Linked DNA regions of Schizosaccharomyces pombe. The gene in region 3 interacts genetically with the main gene of each other region. Each region holds a gene or a part of one and is shown on either strand. Other genes may lie near its edges.

Region 1 (4,443 bases), on a different chromosome or scaffold from region 3:
GAAATTCCATTTCACCACCTCTGGTGTTGCTCAACGTGCCAAAAAGACTGTTGATGCTTACAAGGATATCCCTTATATTCGTTCCCCTGTCCGCCGTGCTTTCTAATTTAGTAGCATTTTTTCTCTAGATTCTTTTAGGATTGATTTGCTGGCTTAGAATTCAATTCGTGCGGAAGGAAGTAGTTATGAGTGAATTGTGTTTTGTCTTTATTTGAATGTAAGTCTATAAATGTGAGCAAAATATGAATGCATAAATATATATATTTTTGTATATATGATATTCGACGATATAGTTGGAATTGTGAGTAGAGTATTACAATAATTTTGCATCTACTTTAGTCAATGTAAGTGCAGTTTACTGGCGTTTATAGTTGATGTATTACAAACTATTTTTATTCATATTTAAAATTAGAAGTAAAAAGTTGATATTTATTTAATAACTTTATTCAAACATTCACAGACGTACATAACTTTAGAGTACTTAATAATCAACACTGTTTTTCTAATCAAAGATAAACCTAGTAAAGGTATGGTAAGGAAAGGGGGTAACATTCAATTATATAAGGGTTGCTACTAAATCATGCCTAGCAGATTGCATTATTTTACGCAAGAAAGATGATTGAATCTTTAATTAACAGGAAAGTGAGGAGGAATCAAACCTCTGCTGCCATACCACTTACCATTGCGGACGGCGAAATTCCAGTAAACAAAAGGAAAGAAGTCCTTCTTAAGGTGATAAAACATGCGACGAGGTACAGTTTGGTCAAGGAAACGAGAAAAGCGACCGAAAGATTCTTTAGGTTCTTGTTTGTACAAGAATTCGGCCAAGATAAGCTTACCATAGCCAGTGAGTAGCGGGCATGAAGTGTAACCATTGTATGATGCAGTTAAATTCTTTCCATTAACGAAACTCCAAAGATTGTGGACCATAACAGGAGCTTGTGCAGTAATGGCAGCGTAAGTCTTACTAGTTGGCAAACCACTGCAATCACCGATAGCGAAAACATTGGGGAACTTGGTCGATTGTGTAGTAGATTGATCAACAGCAACAAAACCAGATTTATCAGCCAAATCACTCTTTGCGATAAACTCATGAGAACGCATAGAGGGGACGGCATGCAAAAGATCAAAAGGACGCTCGAAGAGAGAGCCATCGTTTAAATTCTTAAATACGGCTTTACGTTCAGATCCCTTAACTTCAACAAGCTCATCTTTATAATTAATCTTGACATTGCGATGTAATTGCTCATTTTGGCGAAGAAGGGCATCAGAATAGCGCTTAACCGAGAAAAGAGTAGGCATACCAGTGTAGAAGGATACATCAATATTGGAACGAACTTTATGACGACGCCAATAATCTTCAGCCATCCACATAATCTTTTGTGGAGCGCCGGCACACTTCAAGACACCGCTGGGTTGAGTAAAAATGGCATTTCCAGACTTGGTTTTTTCAATCCAAGGATAAACAGCGTCAGCATATTTTTCTGAATAGATAGTAACTACAGGGGTGTTGGGGTCATCCAAAGCCTCAGTTAAACCCTTGATTCTGCCAAAGTCAGTATAAATACCAGCTGCCATAACCAAATAATCATAGCTAATTTCTTGACCACTTTGAGTAACTATTTTGTTTTCACGAGGATGTAAGGATTTAACAAATTCAGGATGGAGTTTAAATTTGTCAGCAGGAACCAGGCTAGCCAATTCTCGTCTGGTCTTAGCAACAGAACTCAATCCAGCACCAGTCAAAGTCCAACCAGGTTGGTAATAATGATACTTGGCACCATCCACAATACCAATTTCACCGGGTTTGAGGGATGTATCTTTGCCTTGGTCATTGGCAAAGCGGTATTTAGAAAACTTGTTGTAAATTTGATGGGCGACGGATATACCAGCGGATCCACCACCAACTACTAAAACCTTGTGATGGGTAGAGGCGAATCGAGCCAACATGGAAGCGGACTGAAATGAGCCGGTGACCGACTTGATTGTTGAGTTTAAGGTCAACATTTTTAGTTGCAAAAATGCAAAAGAGAAGTGTTTTTTTAAAGGTAAAGGAAAAAAAAAGGAGGCAAAAAGTAGCCTAATAAAACACAAGAAAACAGAGGTTGAGCGGAAAAAACGCGTTTAAAATTTCAAGAATTTAACACCTCAATAAGTAAATCAGGAGAAAAGGAATTTTTAAAAAAAAAATTTTTGATTACAATATCAAAGAATGTAGTCAAACAAGCACCACCTTTCAAGTGTACTAGAATAAGTGCTAGTCTGTTTTGACTCAAGCGAAGTAAAAGAAAAAAAAAAATTTTTTATTTCTTTTATATGCACTCTTCAATGTACTTTAATTGTTCAAGAAACAAGCACAATTTAGTCTACCGGCTGTCGTCTAAAAAGAATGGTGTAGTGTACAAAATAGAATTAACGGAAGACAAGCCTATGTAGAAAATATTTGCAAATACAGTCGACTAATCAGAATTAGCAGCATAAGGTGTTTATATTCAGTCGATAACTCACGTCAGCTCCGAAGGCGTAATCGGTTACGCAATTTTGTCAAGTGCTTGCGCTTTGCTTGTGATTCCGAAATATGTGGCATAACTTTATTCATTTTAGGGGCAAATCACGTGGATTTGCTAAGTTTCATTAAAGTTTGTAAAGCAAAAGCTATCGAGGCTTAAGGAACTCATAAAAGCTGCTTAATGCATGTTTCCGTAAATTAATAATAGTACTAGAAGTAAGAAAGTGAATGATTTTGTGGGTATGTGTATTTTTAATTTTGCAAAAATATTCGTTTATCCCTAAAGTAGTACAGTAGCCGAAAGAATCCTTTATAACGTCCATGCATTTGTGCACAAATACAACAAAATTAGAAGTTTGTCAAATTGCTGTTGGTCATTTTCAAATAGCAAATAGCAAGGCGCTGAAATGTTAAGGTTGCTATTTTCTGACATATAACGAAAATCGGCTGTACTAAAGAGTAACGTGGGTTGGCGATGGACATTCTTTGCTGAAGAAGCAAACATTGTTCATAAAAAGTAGACTGATATTCTATTATGCTATAAAATGAATCGGCTCTTTTGTGTAATTAATTAAATTTTCCATATTCGGTAATACTACTAAACATTAGTATACACAATACCAAAATCAATCAAATCATACATAGCATGGATCGTTTGTTTAACATTGAAAAATTCCTTTACGCAGTGCGGAATCTTCAGTTGTTAGATTGAATATAAAGTTTTAGAACATATGACTCTTTTAACCAGATTAAATTTAAGCTTGACATGAAAGTACCTTTATTAAAGTAGCCCCCTGTTAGCAAATACCATGATCATCCAAGAAGGTAAATTTTGAAGAACGCCGTTTTCATAACCATTATGTGTTGCTGTGCAAAGATGTAAACAAACTGATTTTTCGATACAATAATATACCTTTAAATAGAGAAAAGCTAAAAAAAAAAAAAAAAAAAGAAGTAGTTGATTTATAAATAACCCTTTTTCACTAAAAGCAACCTTTAAGTAGGACATGTCTAAAAACAACACAGGTATCTCCAACGAAATAATAAAACCCCAAAAGGTTTGTGCAAAAACCTTCGGCAATGAAATTTATAAGACGGGATGAATGTACAGAATAGAATTGCAACCATTTTCTAGACCACGTGATTTTTGGGAAATTTTGGTGATGCATTAGATGAAGAAAAATAGAACATGAATGAAAGTCTACTTATACAATTTGGAGTAAATGATTAATTGATGCTTTTAAATTTTGTTTGACTTTGATTCGAATCCAATAGCTCATTTCCACCAAGCAGGAATGCCCAGTCCATCACGAGAACAGGAAGCCTAAATATATAGTTAGTAAATTCTATCGATTTGAGAGAAGCAGAAAATATTTTCTTGTATACTAGCAAATAGATGGTGCACCCTTCATAAATAATGACACAAGTTTCGCCCTAAACATAAAAAAAAAAACTTACAATCAATGTATATGGGGATACCGATTCCAATGCTTCTGTGCCTGTAATCGCGGTTGCATTTTTATTCCTCTTAGGTGAAATATCAACAAAGTCCTCAGATTCTATTTGAAAGCGTATTTCTTCATCAATGTCAAAATACAATTCGGTTCCCTCTGAGCCGTCCTCCCCTTCAATTTTCCATACCCAGGCACGCTCATCCGGACGAAAGACACATGGATCGAAAAGCATATCTTTCGGAATGAAAATATCGTCAAAAAAGCTAATAGTTACTGGGAGAAAAACATTAACAACAAGCATTTAAACAAACACATTTAACATACCCCGAATACCTTCTTCACTGCACGATTTTATTTTTCCCAGCATTACTTCACCTCGAAAAGGACGAAAGATTATAAGGCGGAAAACCACTAATCTAATTAGAACCATTTAAGTTTTTCTTTTCCACTGAATCACTATCCTGACAGCCTTTCGTATTG
Region 2 (5,621 bases), on a different chromosome or scaffold from region 3:
TACATAGGTGATAATCTCGTAGACATTGACATTGATATTGGTGTTTGTTTGTTTGGCAATGATTCTCGTAACTCGCGTATACGAACCATCAACTCTTCGATTTGGTTATTTGCGCATCTTTTAATAAGAGGCTGAGCTGTGTTCTGACATATCTTTTCAAACTGACTTTTTGCTAATCCATAATACATAATTGCTTGTGAAATTTCTCCCAAAACTTCCTGATTTTCCCCATCTCGGGCGTATTCATGCGCCTAATTTTGTTAACATTCACATTCAAAAGCGAACGATAATTACGAACTTCAAACACTAAATTTACTCATATCCTTATCTCTTTAAGCATCTCTTACCTTTCTTAATGAATATCGAACCATAACACATTTTAATAATATACTGTTGTTGTGTAAGGAAGTGGCCAACTTATGTTGTCTACAAATGTGAACGACATAATACGGTACATTAACTCAAAATAAGTTTCTAGAAGACAATTCCTTCAAAAAAAAAACTAATAAAGTGATAGACACCAAATTAAACATTAGAGTTATATTCGGACTAAAACTGCAACAACAGTACTATCATGGAAATTATAAATTAGAATTGAATCGTAAGGTAAAAAATTCATTTACTACTTCTTTCTTTTAAGTAAAAAAGTAATAATATCGCTGGTGATAAGCTTTACTCATAAATTTAAATAGAATTAACTATTGTTTCGTAAGGGAATATTCGCCAAATAGAACCTTCATAGTAGAAGGATTTAATGGAAGGTATAACATGTAACATAACAATGGGTTTTAACCGGTCGATAACCAAAATAACATAATAAGAGAATAAAGCTAAAGGCAACTAAAAAAGTAGACAAAGTCGATTATTTTTTTCAAGCAAACGATAACTTAATTTTTATGAATGGAAAGGTTTTCGAAAGCAGGAAGAGATTCTTCCTTGATGCCGGCAAAGAAAACATCAGGAGTCGTACAAGCACCAAGAGCCCGACGCATATGCGAATTACAGAATGTAAGGCCGACTTCGTAACTGGCATTAACCCATCCAAAACCTTCGCGAGCAACGCCTTTGATATTGACACCCTGATTACCATACTCAGCTTCAACACGATGTGGATCAACTGGTCTGGTCAAATCATATTTTTCAACAACAATACCATTAAAATCAACAAACGATTTAGTAATAGTATATAGCCAACGATATACAAGTCTACGAGTCTCCTCTTCATATCCGTATCGAATCAATCCATACCAAGCTAAAATCTGCTGAGGGCTCCAGCCATTAGGATAATCCCATTGACGGCTGGGATTATCAAGACCCACTTTACCCAAGCTTCTCTTTGTACCAGCAACTATACCTCCAGCAACTTCAAACTTGGGAAGACTAACATCAACAAATTTTGCGGCTTGACGGGGAGTTGCCACACCGGCCCACAAGGCCCAGAAAGCAGTAGCACTTTCATAAGTACTCTTCGTTTCTAACTTCGTGTTGTAATCATACCACATCGAATCAGCTTCTGACCAAAGATACTTTTCCATTGCAGCACGACGAGCACGAGCACGACGATCCCAAATGGCAGAAGTTTCTATAGTTCCGTTTGGAAGTACAAACTTGTCATCGAAATATTCTAAAATCACATGTGAGATGTCGGTTTCATATTTGTATAGCAACGAGTTCAGATCCACGGTGGCCAAGTCAGCACAAACTTTTTCCAACCGATAAGTAGTATCATGCCCGCTTTCGCGAACTGCGCGGTCGTGCACGAAATACTCATCCAACGCGGGTTCATGAATTTGTTGGTAATTGTATGCATGAGTAAACTCCTCAAGAGTCATATGATACTTCTCCATGTAAGGACGAAGCAAATGCTCAAAATGAGAAGCTTCAGTTTCCGGAGGAATACCGAGTCCTCCAGGGCGATAGCGGGAAAGACCAGTTTTGGGATCCAGTCGTGGAGTGGCAGTCCAAACAGTGTGATATTCTTTTATAGTCGCAGAAAAGGCCCGATGCAAAAAGTCTAAAGATCCTTCTTCGTTTTTTATACGTTCATAAACTCGAAGGGCCATATCGGTCAAAAATGGAGGCTGGGAGCGAAGAAGATAATAAGTGCGGTTGGCATTCAAGATCTTACCGTAATAGGTAATTTCAAAAATAAAATTCTCCACCATACCTTTCGCCAAGTCAACCCGATCGTCAACAAGCAAACCCAGTGATTCAAAGTAAGAGTCCCAGCCGTACAGTTCATTAAACCGGCCACCAGGAACGACAAATGGCACACCTCGAAGATGTGTATTGCCTTCATCATCTTGGTATTTTTCCATTGCAAGTGCAAGTAACCCTGGCTTATCATTTACATCTCTCACCCATTCTGGAGTAATCTCTTCCGGCAGATATTCGACCTGTAAATTCAAGTAAGGCCTTTCCTTAGCAGCGCGAACATAGTATTCATACATCTCTTGTTCGGCTTTAGGAACATAAATTCGATTCACGTGTGATCCTGATCGGTCTTTGGTATCACGGCAAATAACATCCAAAACACTGGCATCGATTCTTCGAGTAAGGGCATCCCAAAAGGTACCTTTGATGAGTCTAGAAAGTCGGTTCACAGGGTTTTCATTAAGTCTTCGCTCATCAAGTAAAATATATCGACGTCCATAATCCTTTGCCAAGGTCAATTCCTGAAGTAAATTTGACAATTGATATGTGCCGCGAAGCTCATACAAGCGATATCCACCCGAGCTAGCGCTGCCAAGGGAAACAACTTTAGGTCCGGTATCCTCGATGGTGATTTGCATGTTCCGGTCGGTGTCTTCAGATTCCAAAAGTGCATTCAATGTCTTATCAACATCAACAAGAAATTTTCGTGGTTGTTTATGTTCATCAAGACTTCCACGTCGACGTAAATTCTTTAATTCTGGTATAGTTGGTGCGGCGGATGCCTCCATCGAAGTGGATAAGGTGCGAGGACGGCCAGCACTTACCCGAGTCGACAAGTCTGTATCCTTGGAGTAATAACTCTTAGCGGTTGCAAAGGGATTGTCATCATCATTTGAAATGGCTTCTGTATCCACGTATTTAGAGGAAAATTTCGAAGGCATATGAAACAAACTTATTCGTGTTAAATATTTTCACTATTAGATCAATGTATATATAAACTTCTTTAAAAATGTATTTTTTTTCTCTTTATTGTTCCTATTCACGAATGATAGCAAATGATGGAGAACAAGGTTATTCCGTTGATGGCTTCCGTTTCCTTCACTACAAGCTAACGATATATCAAAAATTCAAAAGCTCCTACGAGGAATACGCTCACTTTCCAAAGCAATTCACAAGATAAAGTGTTTTTTTTTTTAAAAAAACAAAACAAAACAAATTCCTGCTTTTTCGTTCTAAGCTATAAAATAGCAAGCAAGATTTCAGAAAATCGACACTAATTACGTATAAGGAAAATCCGTGTCTTTAACTGAATTTGAGTAACTCTACCAAATTCTTAGTACCCCAATAGGTATAAATCGTTAAATCCTAAAAAAATTTTAAAAGAACTGCTAGTTTCTTCTATGTATCAGTCTATAATCCTGTCGTTGATATTTGTGGTTTGGAGTTGCTAAGTTCTCATACATTCTAAACCAAATTTACGCTGATGTAGTTCGTTACTCAATGACGTAGTCTACCTGACACCTATAGAGCTTATGGAAGTTTAAGGATGCGGCAATAGGATAGCAGCAACGGTGAACACCATCGCTATAATCAAAACAATGAGCTGAAACATAGAAAGAAGATACGAGAAAATTGGCTAATTAAGATACAACAGTAAAAAAGGTATATACGGACGCCTCTGAAACAGTTATCACTGATTTTAGTGGTACTATTGAGAAGGTAATGAGTTTTGTAAAGAACCACAATATTCCGTATTTTTTAACATTGAGAATGCTCTATTGACTCGTTATATACCACGAGATGAAACCCTATGTATGTGTAGTTTGAATGCGGCACTGTATGTTGTTCTATCGGTTTTTTTTTTAAACTTGCACTCTTCTGGTTTGAAATGATTTGGCTGTTATAATTACAAGTTGCAATTCGGTTAATTAGCGGTACTTACCTCTTCTATGTTAAGATAAACATGTACTTTTAATGAAGAAAGTATACAAATCTGACGAAGTATTGGGATAAAAGACTCTGAACTAACCGATTTACGCAATATTAATAGAAGCTAATCTGACAGCTTTAAATTTCAAATTTCAGATTGTATACAGCCAAAGTATACACGTACGCATTTCGAAGTAGACTGGGTTTGACGTGTGCGAGATAATGAACATAATAGATATTTTTTAGAATCTTTTAATACTTGCGCATAAAATGTTACGTATGAACAAGCATGAATTGTTTCCACAGCTATAGATACAGCACTTATGTTTACCTATATCTAAACTGTTGCATTGAATCATTCCTACATAAACCTAAAAAACAACAACACAGGGATATCAAAATTGCTTGCTTGCGAGCTTTTCTATGTGCACTTCTAAAATTGCCCAGCTCTACTTAATACTTTCAGAAAGTCCTACCTTAATAAAATTCAATTTCACTTTAGCAAAATAACTGAGTATAAACATAAAAAATTTTTTAACGGTATCGACTTAATATCTATTGCGCAATATACTCACATAAAAAGCTCATAAACAAATATTTAGTTCCATGTTTCTCAGTCTCACCAACCAGGACCGCCATGACCTCCAGGACCACCCCCAAAGCCTCCGGGGCCTCCTCCAAAACCTCCAAGACCGCCTCCAAAGCCGCCAGGACCGCCTCCGAAGCCACCAGGACCGCCCTCAAAACCTCCAGGGCCGCCTCCAAAGCCACCGTGACCACCATGATGATGGCCTTCACCTCCAAAGCCTCCAAAGCCTCCAAATCCACCAGGACCAGGAGGAGGACCGCCAGAACCACCACCAAAACCTCCGAAACCACCACCGTTATGACCACGATGGTGAAAGAGATTGCCAAGTGCGTGTGAAGCCAGGCCACCTAAGGCCAATCCACCTAACCCTGCAGCGACAGGAGCAACGTAGCTTGGTCTACTGTAAGAGTTGCCAGTGGTGTAGCCATTAGAAGAGGTAAGCCCACTGAACAGCCCTTTATCACTACCATCTGCATTGGTAGTGGTAGTGGCAGCAGCATTAGGATAGTATGCAGCATTGGTATTGGCAGGGGCATTGGGGTTATATGCAGCGCTGGTAGTAGCGGCAGCATTGGTAGTCGTGGCAGTGTTAGCATTGGCATTTGCAGCAGTATTAGCATTGTATGCAGCATTCGTATTCGCAGCAGAAGTATTGTTATTGTTATTATACACAGCTGTATTAACGCTTGTGGCTCCTGGAGGAGGAGCAAGTTTCAGATTTTCGACTGGTGGTTCCCATTGGGGCTGTGGATTTTGAGCTGACTCGTTAACATAAAAGTATGTTCCATATTCAGCATCCCATTGAGCAACCCATCCACTGGGCAAACCTTCACGAGTTTGATAGACAGACATTTTTTATATGATTAATTCTGTAAAGACACAGAGTAAAAACCTATATAAACGATATAGAGGCTTAGAAAGATTCTAACCAAAGAAAAGAAAAATGTTA
Region 3 (5,083 bases):
TCTTCCTTGCTAACATTAAATTATCACTTACCTCCTTCCTTTTTCATGCATTCCTTGTCCGTTTACCCTCAACTTCACCAAAGTGATAGGCGTCCAGTAAGATTTTTATCTTTTGGCTTTTGCCTCTACTCTTTTCTCAACATGTCTTTATTTGCACTCTTATATTTGCGTGAGGTATTTACAGATTTGTATCTTTTTTTTTTTTTTTGCATGCATTTTTTGAACGAGCAAATTAAGTGGGACATACTGGTATGTTCCACCATTAAAGCGCATATATTTTTGCACCAAAATAACTTACTAAACTACATTGCGTATTTTCCTGTGATCATGGCACTTTACCTTGATATGTTTGATCTTCAAACAATCAATCATAAGCTTGACTGTTCATTTCTATTTTGATTCCTTTTAATTCTTCATCCCTTTCTTTGTTAAATTAATTTCCTTTTGTTTGGCACAGGTTGTTTAAACTTAGATTAAGATATATCTCTAGTAAATACTTTACTCATGAATTTATCCAAATACTTCTTTACATTCTTTATCATTTTATGCAAGGAATTTTCTGTAAGTGTTGTGCTTATAAATTTTTTTCTGCTGTAAAATCGTATATTCTTCAAACTTAAAGGTGAGATTAGCATGTTTACACTCGTAAAAATCCGTCATCCGGATCTGGTTTTTTGTTATGACACTTTGATGGATGACTCCCAGAGTTTCATGGTATCAAACAACTCTTTGACCTTTTGATAAATTGCTTTAGTGCACTGCTCGTGAACTGAAGCCGCATTTTTAATTGCAGAATTTTGTATGTTCGTAGGACAGTCAGGAGAATATATGGATTTCAGTAATTTCGTAAAAGGCAACATACACTCTGGAATGTATATTGAAAGAAACTGAAAAAGAGATTCTTTCGTGCCTTGATACTTAGACCATGACATAATAGTTGTTTTTGTTACTATAGAACGATCTTTCAATTCGACAGATGATTCAAAGTCTGATTGAGCTTGAAAGAGATGTAAAACGTAAGAAAAAGTTTTCGAATAATAATTTAAAGAGTTATCAGTAAATAATATCCGTAAAGCACCTATTACTTGGCATTGGAATTGTAAATCAGGGTACACATCCTCAAATTCACTAACGCTCGCAGAATCCAATGTAAAAGTTATACTCTTAGATAAAGACCTGCTCAACCCATTTTTTTCTTTTTCCATAAAAATGAATTTTTTCAATCGAGAAATAAAATTATATCTGTCATCAGAGTTCAAGTCCTCAGCCAACTCATTACGGTCAGATTTATCAAGCCTTCTTGATTTTAACAGAGAAATGACATTATCAGAGAATTCATAATTTTGAAAAAGAAAAGTGGAATGAAAAAAATTTAAAAGATCAAACACCTGAAAATCGTTTTTTAAAACTTTATATGTCGAACGTAAGAAACTGAGAATAAAAGATTGTATTGGCTCAGCAATACAGCAGCAAACATTCAAGTTAAGCGGACAGACGTTGCGCACATCATCTGTAAATTTAAGTTGTAATAAATTATCGTTGAAATCTGGAGTCATGTTCATTTTAGCAAGCAGCGTTTCAAATTCTTCACTGTCATTATTGACGGAAGTTTGTTCCAAATTACCAAAAGAAAGCGAAGAAAAGTTGCAGCGCTCCTCTATTACACAAGCTTGATTTATGTCGTTGAAAGAATATGCGAACCGAATGTTCAAAGGGTTAATAAATTCTTTGTTGTTTTTATTAAATATTTCTTTTTGTTCCCTTATTAATGACAAAAATTGAATACACTGTTCAATGCTTACACAAAGTTCAGAAGGAAAAAAACGGGGAAGTGATAAGAACAATGAAGAATCAATGTGACCATACGCACAAGAAACTTTTAAAGCAAGCTCAAGCCTTTTGAAGTAGGGATTTGAGCAATATATCAAGCACTGTAGGGCAATGGGGTAAGATATGGTATTCTGACATGAACGCGCATAATCAAAAAGAAAATCTAACAAGGAATCTCCTTTTAGGTTTTGAGCCGATTTTATTAAGAAGTGTGAAATTAACTCAAAGAATGAAGAAAAAGAATTAACAAAGTTACTTAAACCAATCAGACCGAATCTACGGAACTCATAAAGACGAAGCCAACGCTGAAACTCCTTTCGATACTGCAAGACACCATTCACAATGAAATTTGATAAATAAAAAGAAATGTTGGTCTTGTATAAAGAGAATTCATTTAAAGCTTTTTTTATTAAACCCCCAATTGCAGAAAATTTCTGGACGATACTAGCAAAACATTCATCGGACATTCCTGAAACGGAGATGGTCGGATCGAGTTCAAATGTGCTTGAGGTTTTGTTCCATGGAAACACTGTGCTTTCAAATCCTTGTGGTAAACCAGCCACGCAATTGAAAATAGTTGCTAAAGGGTAAACTTGCAGTGCAGAAAATAATGGTTTCGGACTCCAATCCTGATTATGAAGAAAATAATCATATACCCGAGAAGGCGCTTCAGATATGAATGGAGATCTAGCTTCTAAATTTTTAAAATTTTCTCCATCCCAGCTAGGGCATGTTAGCAGAACTTTGTTTTCGACAGATAAATCGCTGGGTGATGAATCTGTAAGATAAGAGGGGGACACTGAGGATTTAGCTCTTTTTCTTTCTGAAGTAATTTCCTTAGATGCGCTTATGAGTTTGGAATTGGATGATGTCTCACACCCAGGCACAGCGGGTGTTAGTTGTTGATTTGAAATATCGAGAATGACATCTTTTCCCAACAGATCATCGTTTACTTGAAATGAAAAGTTTTGAAAGTATTCCGAGGAGTCAAATAACTTCCTCTTCAATCCTTCTTTTCCCTCAAATTTCGAAAGCTGCTCGACAAAATCAGAATCAAATGAATTTGGCGTAAGGTCGAAAACGTGGTTGCCGAACCATAACAAGTCGTTTTTCATAATTCCATCCATTCCATTTTTATTTCAAAATCATCTATTTTAGTGGTACATTTCAAGATCCAACTCCTTTACTGGAAAACACTCTTGTTATGAATTACTAAAATTTGGCAATATGTGTGTAGTTAATGTATAATGTTGTTAACGTAGCGAATTAAGATGACTTCTTATCTAGAACAGTCAGGATTAGAAGATGTGAATGAAGTATGCGTCTCTTAAACTAAGAAATGGAACGTTAGTAATTGATCCTAACATTGAAACCAATTCAAAAATCCGTACTCTCGTGGCCGTACAACAGAAAATACTGACATGGAGTTAAAGGTATCCAGGATGAATAAAACAGAATGATAAATTGAACAAAAACTATCAGTTGTTAAGGAATTACTATTGCACAATTGCATAATCTATCCAAAACGACATTCCAGCATTTAATTTTAAGAGAGTGCTATGTGGATAAAACGTATCCTTTATGGAACTATAAGAGCTCTTTTATGCTTCTCTGGTTAGTACATTTAGATTTTTTTAAAAAAAAGTTTATTGTACTATTCGTGATATTATGGTTACAGTATACCTCGCTGGCTTGATCGTTTATTGTCCAGAGAGCTCGCATGCGAGTCAAAGCTGAATGAATGGTATCTTCATATAAAAAAAGTCTATTTGGAGAATTTTGGATCCTTCAACAAATTTATTTGAAGTACTTAATGTTCTTTCTTAATTTTTCTCATAAAACCATGTGTCAAGCAATGAAGGATTTAAATATTGTTGGCAAAAGAAATGTTGCAATCACTAATTCAAGTTTGTTTAGAAGCTTGCATTATATAGTTATCGACTTTTCTTTTGCCTTTGGAAAGGGATATCTTCATTATTCTTAATGAAACAGTATAAAATTCTTTTAAACACTAGACTAGATAAGTTGTTTTAATTCTTTCTCAAAAAACATAAACGACAGTCTAACTCTAAAATAATCGGGATTTTTGTGACACCAATGGTATAAAAATGATTAATTAAAAATTTTTGCGGATAACACAAGACTTTGTACTTTGTATTACTGGAAAATTTAGCTAATTAAAAAGGAGAACACATAAGCAATGTATTCTGGAGGTCAAAATCAATTGATTTTAACCTCCAAATATCAGCTTGATGTACCTTTTTTGCCATGACGATAATACATACAGGACTTTATAAAAATCAGCTTGGATTAAATGACAACCTACTTATCTAGAAATAGAATTTAAAATAAACATTCAGTACCCCCAAATCCTTTTTATAAATTAAGACTAACTATCACTATCAGATTCCAAGTTTATACTTGGCAAAGAGATATTGTCTTCCTCCTCATCATCTTCTCCGTTTCCTTCCACATTAATAGAAGTCGTTTTCTCATCTACGACATCCGTTGTTTTTTCAAAAGTTTCGACGACTGAAGAAGTTGTGTTTCCATTTTCATCACCATTTATGTTTTCAATTTGGCTTGAAACTACACTAGTAGGTCGGTCAACAAAGTCAACGTCTATAGCAGTAAATTTGGTTTCAGTGTCCTGAGAATTGTTTAATGCAACATTTGTAGTCTCCTCAACCTCAACATCTCCATGCAACAGTGAAACAGTTGTTTCCTTGTTTTCCGAAACAATGTTAATGTGATCAGTCCCGTGATTAATAGTTGAAGGTTGAGAAGAGTTGATTTCACTACCTTCTTCATTTCTGTCACCCTCATTAGAAAGAACATTAGACATAGTCAGCTCTGATTCGCTTCTTTTGTTCTCGGAGGTAGCTGTAGAATTATTCTGTAAGCCTGTATCTGTAGATGCAAAAGACTCTTTGATCCCTTCAATTTCAGTGGAATCTGTAATCGACTCTGTTTCAAAGGGAGGATTTGATGGAGCCAAAATACTACTTTCTTTATACTCTGATTGAGAATCCACCTGGGGTGGAGAAATATGCGATTGGTTTTCAAGAGAAACAGGCTCAAATCTTGACTCAAACGTATTTTCAAATTCGCTTGGTGAAAGATGTTTTTGCAAAGGTGGGAACCTAGGATGAATCAGCGATTCTATTGTTTGCATCGATGACCTTGCGTGTGAAGCGACCAGAGGATCTGGATGTACAAGCCCTAATGGACCAGAAATTATACGTATTGCATG

What was found.
Region 1: mutations in alp16 (region 3) and hmt2 together harm fitness more than expected from each alone (negative genetic interaction), as found in Schizosaccharomyces pombe (one large-scale study listed by BioGRID).
Region 2: mutations in alp16 (region 3) and ntp1 together harm fitness more than expected from each alone (negative genetic interaction), as found in Schizosaccharomyces pombe (one large-scale study listed by BioGRID).

Annotation. Positions count from the first base shown.
Region 1 is NC_003423.3:2,588,473-2,592,915, forward strand, and holds hmt2 (sulfide-quinone oxidoreductase), read right to left. Parts: upstream 2,462-4,443; 5' UTR 2,008-2,461; coding exon 628-2,007; 3' UTR 532-627; downstream 1-531. Other genes in the region: tkt1 (transketolase), read left to right, coding at 1-106; DNA-directed RNA polymerase III complex subunit Rpc25, read right to left, coding at 3,786-3,833, 3,968-4,236, 4,288-4,374. UniProt on the Schizosaccharomyces pombe protein: Catalyzes the oxidation of hydrogen sulfide, with the help of a quinone.
Region 2 is NC_003423.3:204,552-210,172, reverse strand, and holds ntp1 (alpha,alpha-trehalase Ntp1), read right to left. Parts: upstream 3,593-5,621; 5' UTR 3,096-3,592; coding exon 888-3,095; 3' UTR 532-887; downstream 1-531. Other genes in the region: protein Atg38, read right to left, coding at 1-251, 348-371; protein wwm2, read right to left, coding at 4,703-5,524.
Region 3 is NC_003421.2:431,718-436,800, forward strand, and holds alp16 (gamma tubulin complex GCP6 subunit Alp16), read right to left. Parts: upstream 3,070-5,083; 5' UTR 2,958-3,069; coding exon 678-2,957; 3' UTR 547-677; downstream 1-546. Other genes in the region: ribosome biogenesis protein Rix1, read right to left, coding at 4,220-5,083. UniProt on the Schizosaccharomyces pombe protein: Component of the gamma tubule complex that is required for the regulation of both interphase microtubules and mitotic bipolar spindles.